Oryzias latipes: one gene and its partner. The protein of the gene in region 1 interacts with the protein of each later gene in a pairwise test. Links are inferred from orthologs where the notes say so. Each region holds a gene or a part of one and is shown on either strand. Other genes may lie near its edges. The genes, in order: fam92a and cby1.

Evidence for each region.
Region 2: the proteins of fam92a (region 1) and cby1 interact in binary tests that used the Homo sapiens proteins (3 or more experiments, as listed by UniProt). The two-hybrid records come from large-scale screens. The link is inferred for Oryzias latipes from reciprocal best matches to the Homo sapiens genes CIBAR1 and CBY1.

What each region holds. Positions count from the first base shown.
Region 1 is NC_019869.2:22,775,307-22,779,678, forward strand, and holds the start of fam92a (protein FAM92A), read left to right. Parts: upstream 1-1,287; 5' UTR 1,288-1,454; coding exon 1,455-1,483; intron 1,484-1,900; coding exon 1,901-2,135; intron 2,136-2,270; coding exon 2,271-2,339; intron 2,340-2,979; coding exon 2,980-3,081; intron 3,082-3,169; coding exon 3,170-3,175; intron 3,176-3,370; coding exon 3,371-3,475; intron 3,476-3,563; coding exon 3,564-3,677; intron 3,678-4,372. UniProt on the Homo sapiens protein: Plays a critical role in regulating mitochondrial ultrastructure and function by maintaining the integrity of mitochondrial morphology, particularly the organization of cristae.
Region 2 is NC_019877.2:2,313,005-2,316,856, forward strand, and holds cby1 (protein chibby homolog 1), read left to right. Parts: upstream 1-1,363; 5' UTR 1,364-1,447; coding exon 1,448-1,453; intron 1,454-1,687; coding exon 1,688-1,786; intron 1,787-1,928; coding exon 1,929-2,034; intron 2,035-2,436; coding exon 2,437-2,549; intron 2,550-2,684; coding exon 2,685-2,765; 3' UTR 2,766-3,064; downstream 3,065-3,852. Other genes in the region: phospholipase B-like 1, read right to left, coding at 85-307, 676-781. UniProt on the Homo sapiens protein: Inhibits the Wnt/Wingless pathway by binding to CTNNB1/beta-catenin and inhibiting beta-catenin-mediated transcriptional activation through competition with TCF/LEF transcription factors.

The DNA of each region.
Region 1 (4,372 bases):
TAATGTTGTGTCTCAAACCCATGGAAAAAATGTGGATATCACTGTAAATATTTTTTAACTACTGGGATATAAGAAATGCCTATTATATATATATTATCTCTCTAGTTTTATCTCTCATAGATTTTAAAAGGACATCGACACCAGCTGTTTGTTTGTTTATTTATTTGTTTATTTATTTATTTATTTTATTGCAAAGGTCACCTGGAAATTGTTTCACATTTACTTGTTTATATACCACAACATTTTGGACTGATGAACTAAACTTACTGGAAAAACATATTTTTCATGATGTTTCTTTTTGTTATAAGCACATTATTATTGGATAAGAAATTGAAAACAATGATGTCTATTTAATCAGTATAATTTTTCTTTCATCAAAATTCCATATGCAAACATGTAAATACAGTGATCCCTCGCTATAACGCGGTTTACTTTTCACGGATTTGCATCGTACATTGTGTTCTGCATTCTGATTGGCTAAAAAGTCACTCCGCTTCTTCTCTACGTGTGCGTCAATAACGTTTAATATGTGCAAATTCGCTTGCAATTTCTAGTTTCTCTGAAACCCATAGAAAAAAAGAGCGACAACAACTGCCTATCACTATGTTCTTCTCCCAAACAAACACAGCTGCAGCGCGGGCTTCATAAGAAGAAAACACTGCAGAGTGGAGTCAGGATGCAGCGGCTCAGTCTGAAGAGCAGTGAAATACACCTGAGTCACTATTTGTCCGACTGTACTTTGTATTTTTTTCATAGTCATTTTTAATTTTCTCCCGTTTAATCGCGGTGGGCGGGGCTAATCTCCGCAATTTGAAGCTTTCTGTTCATATTGATGATTAAAATTATTATTTGACAGTACAGTACAAAAGTTATTTTTTGAAAAAAAAAACGTTTCTAAAGTACTTTGATTTGTGAAACAAATGCTTGAGCCTGTAAAATGGTTTGTTCTTTCTTTTCAATGTATAATAGAGTTTTTAATTGGATAATAATTGTAAAAAAAAAAAAAAAAAAAAAGGTTTCTACTTCACGGATTTTGCCTATCACGGGTGCTTTTTGGAACGTAACCCCCGCGAAAAGCAAGGGTTTACTCTATACCCACATTAAACCTTATTTACCTCTTTTCATTTGTGATATAAAAACAGTGAAGCTTTTATAATCTCAAAGAATTTGAAAACTATAAAAAAAACTGTTTTCTTAAAAGTGGGGGTGTAAAGTAAGCTTTCATTTTTACAACTTTGTTGTACCTTTTTTGTTTTACAGTCAGAGTCTAGGTGTGTGCGTCATTACACAACTCGTTTTCCCATAATGCAACAGTCAAGCGGAAACGCTGTGGAGAGTCCATGGAAACGACAACTGCCTCAGTAGCCGTTAGCTTGCCTGCGGACTGCAGCAAGACTTAAAAAAAAACAAAAAAAACAAAACGGTTTCTCGTCACGATTTTTGAAAACACAAACATGATTCGGACTCCTACTTTAAGAGCCAGGTAAGAAAAATGTAACGAACTAAAGAACTCTGCTATTGTGAGAACAATTTGTTCTTGTGATGACTAATTTAGCTAGGTTTATACCCTCAGTTTCTTGACATGTAGCCGTTTTTTATATTTTGTCAGATCATTTCAATTGCTTCATGTTCAAAAGTGATGCTTTTCCAGGCTAGCCCGTTCATTTCCTCGCTTTTTTCACCAGAAACAATGAGAACACTTTCAAATTAAAAGCATAAAATGGAAATAATTTAGCTTAACACAAATAAGATTAAGGCCAGGTTTATATGGTCATTTGCTTATTACTAAGTTTTTGGAGGATTTTATTTGCTGGTAGTTTTAACATATATAAATTGAGAAACACAATTTTACCCCTCACGTTTTACCTTCATAATGACTGTTGCCATCAATCCCCTCCAGAGACAACCAGACAAAGAAGATCCAAGACAACATCACCAGGGTGGAGAAACACTTCGGAGAGATGTGCCAGCTGTTTGCGGCGTACACTCGCAAAACCGCCAGGCTGCGAGACAAGGGGGACCTTTTGGTCCAGCAGATAGCAGTTCATGCCGACACAGAGACTCCAGACCTCAAGAGGGGAATGAAGGAGTTTGCTGACCACCTGGCCAAGATTCAGGACTACCGCCATGCCCAGGCACGAGATACACAAATCTTTTACCCTATTTTTATATTCTTTTTTGGTTTGTTTTGTTTTTTCCATATATATATTTCCATATCAGTTATGGTTTGAATCCATCCATCATGGTAATATTGTTTTCCTGTTTTCTAGGTGAAAAGACTTGAGGCCAAAGTTGTGGAGCCATTAAAAACTTATGGCGCTGTGGTAATACGCAAAAGAGTGAGTCACGTTCCTATCCTGTTTTCTCTGATACATTTATTACAACTTAGGCAGATTTTTTGTGACTGCATTGAACTGGGGGGGGAAAAAACAATAACTAAGATTTCTGTAGCCAACAGAGGGCAGTGTTATTCAATACATGTCTCCACTTTTAGGAACTTGAGTTTATGTCTAAATACTGTATTTTCTTCTTGACAAAAAAATTTCCCACGTGTGGGATCAATAAAGTATTTCTGATTCTGATTAACTGTAGCACTACATTTTACAAAACATTTTTTTTTCATTCATGGATTTAATTTACACAATTTTTGTAAAATATTGGCTAAAAATAAGACTTTTTTCCTTGGTTGTAATAAAAATAAAAAGCCTTGTGTAAAATTAAATTACATCTTTATTCAAATATACAATTTATTTACATTTATTTTGAATTAGAAATAGTATAAATACAGTCTCCTTTTTGATTTTGTACATTTCTTTTTATAAAAGCGGATGTTTTTGCTTGATTCCGTCAGGATATTGACATGACACTATATTTCTGTATCTGAGTGTTTTTTTTGTTTGTTTTACACTTAAAGCATTATTAAATCACTGCATTCTATGTCCCATTTGATTGATTCCTCTTGCTTTTACCACCCTTCAGGAGGATGTGAAAATGACCCAAAGTGCCATAGATAAAGAAGCCAAACAGGAAGCTCAGCTCGAGAAAACAAGACTGAAAAACCCCTCTGACAGACAGATCATTGTATCCTTTTCATTCCTATTTCTATGAATGTGATTCATACTAAATGTGTATCTAAATATTCATGTTTTTCCCTTGACCAAATCCTCAGTCTCATGTGGGTTTGGGGTAAACCCTTTTTCTCCTTTCGTAATGATGTGGCATATCGTGACTTTAAATTATTTCCAGCATTATTTAACATTTTTCACATCTCTATGGATAAATAGCTGATTCCAAAAAAGCTTAATTGAGGTTGACCAAAAGGAATTATAGTTTAATTTTGTCATATGATTTGGAACTTTCCTGCCATCAGGCTGAAAGTGAATTACAAAAAGCCACAATGGATGCAGCACGGACCACCAAGCAGCTGGAGGAGACCATCGATGAGTTTGAGCGGCAGAAGATCCGTGACATCAAGGTTTTTCCCCTCATCTCTGTCATTGTTCCATAATGGGCCACATTTGCCTTTGTTCCAGTTCTAACTCCAGCCTTGCGTCCCTCTTTAGAAAATCTTCAGTGAGTTTGTGACTGTGGAGCTGTGCTTCCTTGGGAAGGCCTTGGAGCTGTACACCTCGGCCTACCAAAGCATTCAGAGTGTGGACGAGGAGGCGGACTTGGAGGTACACTGGTTTTTCTGATCCCGTCCAGCTAATTAGCCCGCTTTAGTGTGCTAATGTGCTTCAAACACAGATGTTGCATATTAGAAAAAAAAAACTGTTCTCTCACATTCCACTGTTAGAAGCCAGGTGTGTAATTTTGTGCCGGTTTGTGTACAGCCTCTGCTCTTTGTTTGACTGACCTAAAGACTCTGTTTAATGTTCCTACATTTATCGCAGAGATATCGACTCATTACTCACTGACTCATTGTTGATACACATCCTATTGTCTCCACCCTTTATCGCAACACACCTGTACAATTTAAAAAAAATGTGTTTGTTCAACATCAACTAAATGGTTCCCCATACCATTTCTTTTCTTTTTCTTTAAACAAAGCTTCAAGAGCAAAAGACAAAGGATCAGTGACATTCTGTGAGTGAGGAGGTTCTTCCAGTGGTTGCGTTTGCCTTCCACCCTCGCAATCCTCTCATTGTGTGTGTGTGTCTGTGTGTGTGTGTGTGTGTGTCTGTCAGTCAACTGTCTTGCTCTCATTCATATCAATGTGAAACTCCTAACCGACGCCGGCCTGTTTTTTCAGTGACTCATAAAATATAACATGAGCGTTTGAATCATCTGTAACCAGCACAAACACTGGCATGCAGATATTCCTGATCAAGGGTTTTTTTTCTTTTCCTGCTCAGTAAACATTTTCCAGCAG
Region 2 (3,852 bases), on another chromosome or scaffold:
TTATTTTTCAACTTCCAACAACTGCTTTAGCCGTGTTAAACAACTTTTTTCCCTTTTGCTGGCTCTGAAAGCGTTCTTCCTCACCCAGCGGTGAGGTAGCCCTCCAGGTATCCAGCCAGGAAGAAGGTGGTCTCATCATCCAGCGGACCCGCTCCATAGCCTGCCCTGATCTCCAGCACACCCCATCCAGAGAGCAGCAGGGTGTCGTTGAAGTAGCCGTAGGCCCCCCCCTCTGTCTCCATCACTCCCTCCGTTAGGATTACACTTTTGTGGGCAGCATCCCAACGCACGGTGGCCTCTCGGAGCTCTACCATTGTAGGAGGATGACCAGGGTTAGAGGGTTGAGGTTAGATAACAGCGTTATGTAACATGCCTCCTATGAAATATTCTATAATATCGCATTTTGTTTGTTTTGCAGGGTTATTTCCTATTAAAATAAACGTAATCATAAAACACCCGAGGTATAATGTTTTGTTTGGAAAAAAAATCGGATTTATTCTTACAGAGGGGATTTTACAACTATGAAAAATGTTTACTTTACTAAAGATGTTAACATTAAATATTGCAAAAATACAAGAAAACTGCTGAATGGCAAAGATCACGGCACCATGCAACACATTTAAATAAAACTCAACAGATTGGTTTGTAATGGGAGCATAAAGGAGCATTACTCACGGTGGGATTGAGGCTTAGAGCACTTTTTCCTTGGTAGATCCATGGGTTGCAGCGATGCAGTCAGTGTGCACAGCAGTATACAGATACTCACTCTTTGAAAGTCCATATAAGCTGTTAAATCACAGAGCTGTCTCTGCTTCCAGTCCGAAAAACTGCATCCGTTTATGTTGGTTTTTGATGCTTGTCACATCCAAAAAGTCTGGTTAGCGGGGGGGAAAAAATATACAACCACCCCAGATGGGACTCGAACCCACAATCCCTGGCTTAGGAGGCCAGTGCCTTATCCATTAGGCCACTGGGGCTGCGTCGACAATCGCAGCGAGATTAGTATTAAAAGAATATGGACAAAGGAAGATGGGTTGTTATTGCTTTGTTATGTTTATATATATATATTTTTGTTCTTCAAATTATGTCCCAAATTGGAGAAGCGGCAATAAACTTCGGCAGAGAAAATGAATTTTGGTGATTCGCCAAACTTTCAGGGACGATTCAACTTTCACATTAATAGGGGGGTTTCATCTTCCCAAAAGCAATATTACTTTTGTAATGTTTACACCTGTTTTACATACATCAACAAACGTTTAACACAACAATTTCATTTATATATTTTTTTAATTTATTGTTTTTTTAAACAAAATACTTTTAGCTTTTTGTTTTGTTTTACATTTTACAGTTTCAAATGGTAACTTCGCACTTGCGCAGTAGGTAGTTAGCATGCTAAAAACAAGCGAATATCAACACAGTACACTCGGATTCTAAATAAAAACAATATATGGAGGTAAATATATTATCTGAAAGGTCAAAGTAACACAAAAACTACTAAATTCTCTTATAAGTTAAAAAATAAATGAATACATCATCACAAAATCTACCAGATACGATTGTTTTAGACAGCTAGCATCATGTATTAGCATGCTAGCTTAACCCCCTTTAGTTGCTGCCGTTAGCAACCATAAACAAATGTTAGCTGACGTTATACAGACACTGGGATCGCTGTGACTCTCCTATGCAGGACCTTAAAAGATCTCTGAAGATGCCGCTGTTTGGAAACTTGTTCAGTCCGAAGAAAACTCTTTCCCGCAGATCTGCGTCCATGTCCAGCCTTCACACGGTGAGTGAAAAGCCTCACTTTAATTACAGGGCTGTGTTTGTAATTATAGTTAAGGTTATGAAGGATGGCTGATGAAGTGAGCAGAAAAGGGAGAAGCTTTCATCATATCCTGGTGTTTATTTGACCTTTTCATCTGTTTTAGTTGGATCATTCGACCAAAGAACTAGAGCTGGGCTTAGAGTACGGACCTCCCGAGGCCAACATCGGAGGCCAAATCTGGAAGTTTGAAGGTGGACAGTGGATCACAGGTAGTGACTCCTCACACAGTTTGTGTTGCATCTTCTTTACATTTAACTTCAATAAACAGGTTATGTTCAAATCAAGGTCTTAAATCCTTGACTTGTGTTCTCTGTGGATTAAAATCTTCCATTCGTTTCGTTTTTATGACTATTTCCTGCATCGCTTACTGTGTTCAGTCAAAGAAATAGAAATATATTTTGTTTAAGCAAAAGGTGTTTACAATACTCACTCAAGGAAAATAGATTTAAAAGACAAGTATTTTAGAAAAACATCAGGAAAAGAGAAAATTTTGTTTATTCCTAGCAAAGTGAAGTGTTTTCATAACAAAAATAGAGTCAAAAGATGTTTGTTTTTTCTTCACTAGTTTGCTTTATCCCAATATTAATATCTTACATTTGATTTTTCTTTAGAGTCCGTTGGGAACACGTCTAGTAGGGAAATGCAGCGGCTCAAAAAGAAAAATCTCCAACTGGAGGAGGAAAACAATCTCTTGAAATTAAAGATTGAGGTTCTGCTGGACATGGTACGTTTTTAGTCATTTCTTCACAGGAAAAGTACATCTAAAGGCATCGATTTGACCTTGAAATGTACATACAAATAACAAAATTCCGTCTTTACATGTAGGGATTTAATGACAAACAGTGAATTTCTTTTCCAGCTGACGGAAACTACAGTGGAGTATCATCTAATGGAGAAAGAAGTGGAAGACATAAAGACTCAACACAGAAGAAAAAAATAATCTTTTCTTTAAGTGTCTTTTATTTATCTGTTGAAATGTGTTTTTTTTAAAATGATTTGAATTCTTTTTTATGTCATTTTTTGTGGGTTTTCATCTTTTTAACATCTGTATTTTTTTTTAAATAAATTGATCATAATGGTAAAAAAAAAAAAATCAGCTGTAAAATGAAACAAACTTTTGTTCGAGCATGAAATTTCACTCTCATTTGTCAAGGTAAAGTCTAAAACCACAGCACAAGTTCTGCTGACCTTTGACCTTCAAAAAATAAAAATAAAAACTCCTTTAGTACTTTCTACAAATGTCGTCTCCTAACTCCTCGAGCATCATTGGGATTATGAACGCCGTTGGCGCAAAAGTGGCGTTCCCCTGTTGCCGGCACATTTATTCCACGAATCCTTTAAGCTGAATGAAAGACGATAATAATAGGAATGTGGGCGTGGCTAACAAAAAGCCTCTGTTGCTAAGGAAATCAAGAAGTTTACTTTAGCAGATTCCTCTAAAAATGACATTGACTTGTTCGTCATCCCCAGGCGACCAAAAAATGAAATGGTTGCTATGGAGATAAAACCAACAGAAGGCCACCATTTTAAAAAAAAAAAAGTATTTTTTTTGTATTTGTGTGCAGCTCTGACCGGGCTGGCAGGGGTAGAAGGGGAGCCTGAAGGGGGTAGGTGTAGGTCAAAGGGGGCCGTGGAAGCCGTTTAAAGCTACTCATGGCTGTTATTTGACTTCTGTGTGAAGCTATTGTTTACATCTTTCTGCTCTACATTAAAAAAAGAAACAATATTTTTTCATTCGTCTTTCATCCTCAATAAAAAAAACTTCAATTATTTCAGGTTTTTGCGAGTGTTGAGGTCAGAGGTCATGTCAACTTCTGACAAAACAACGTTTCCTTTTTTTTAGGATTTGAGTAAAACGTTGAATTTGTGTTTAAAACGTTGTTTTCTCACTTTCACAACGTCCGTCTTCCCCATTTCTAAAATGACAAAAGAGGAAGACGGCGTTAAAAAAAAAGAAAGCGATGTGATCCGCCGCTGTAATGCTCCTCTGTTTTGTTTAGGAGGGAGAAAAAAGACGACAAACTGAT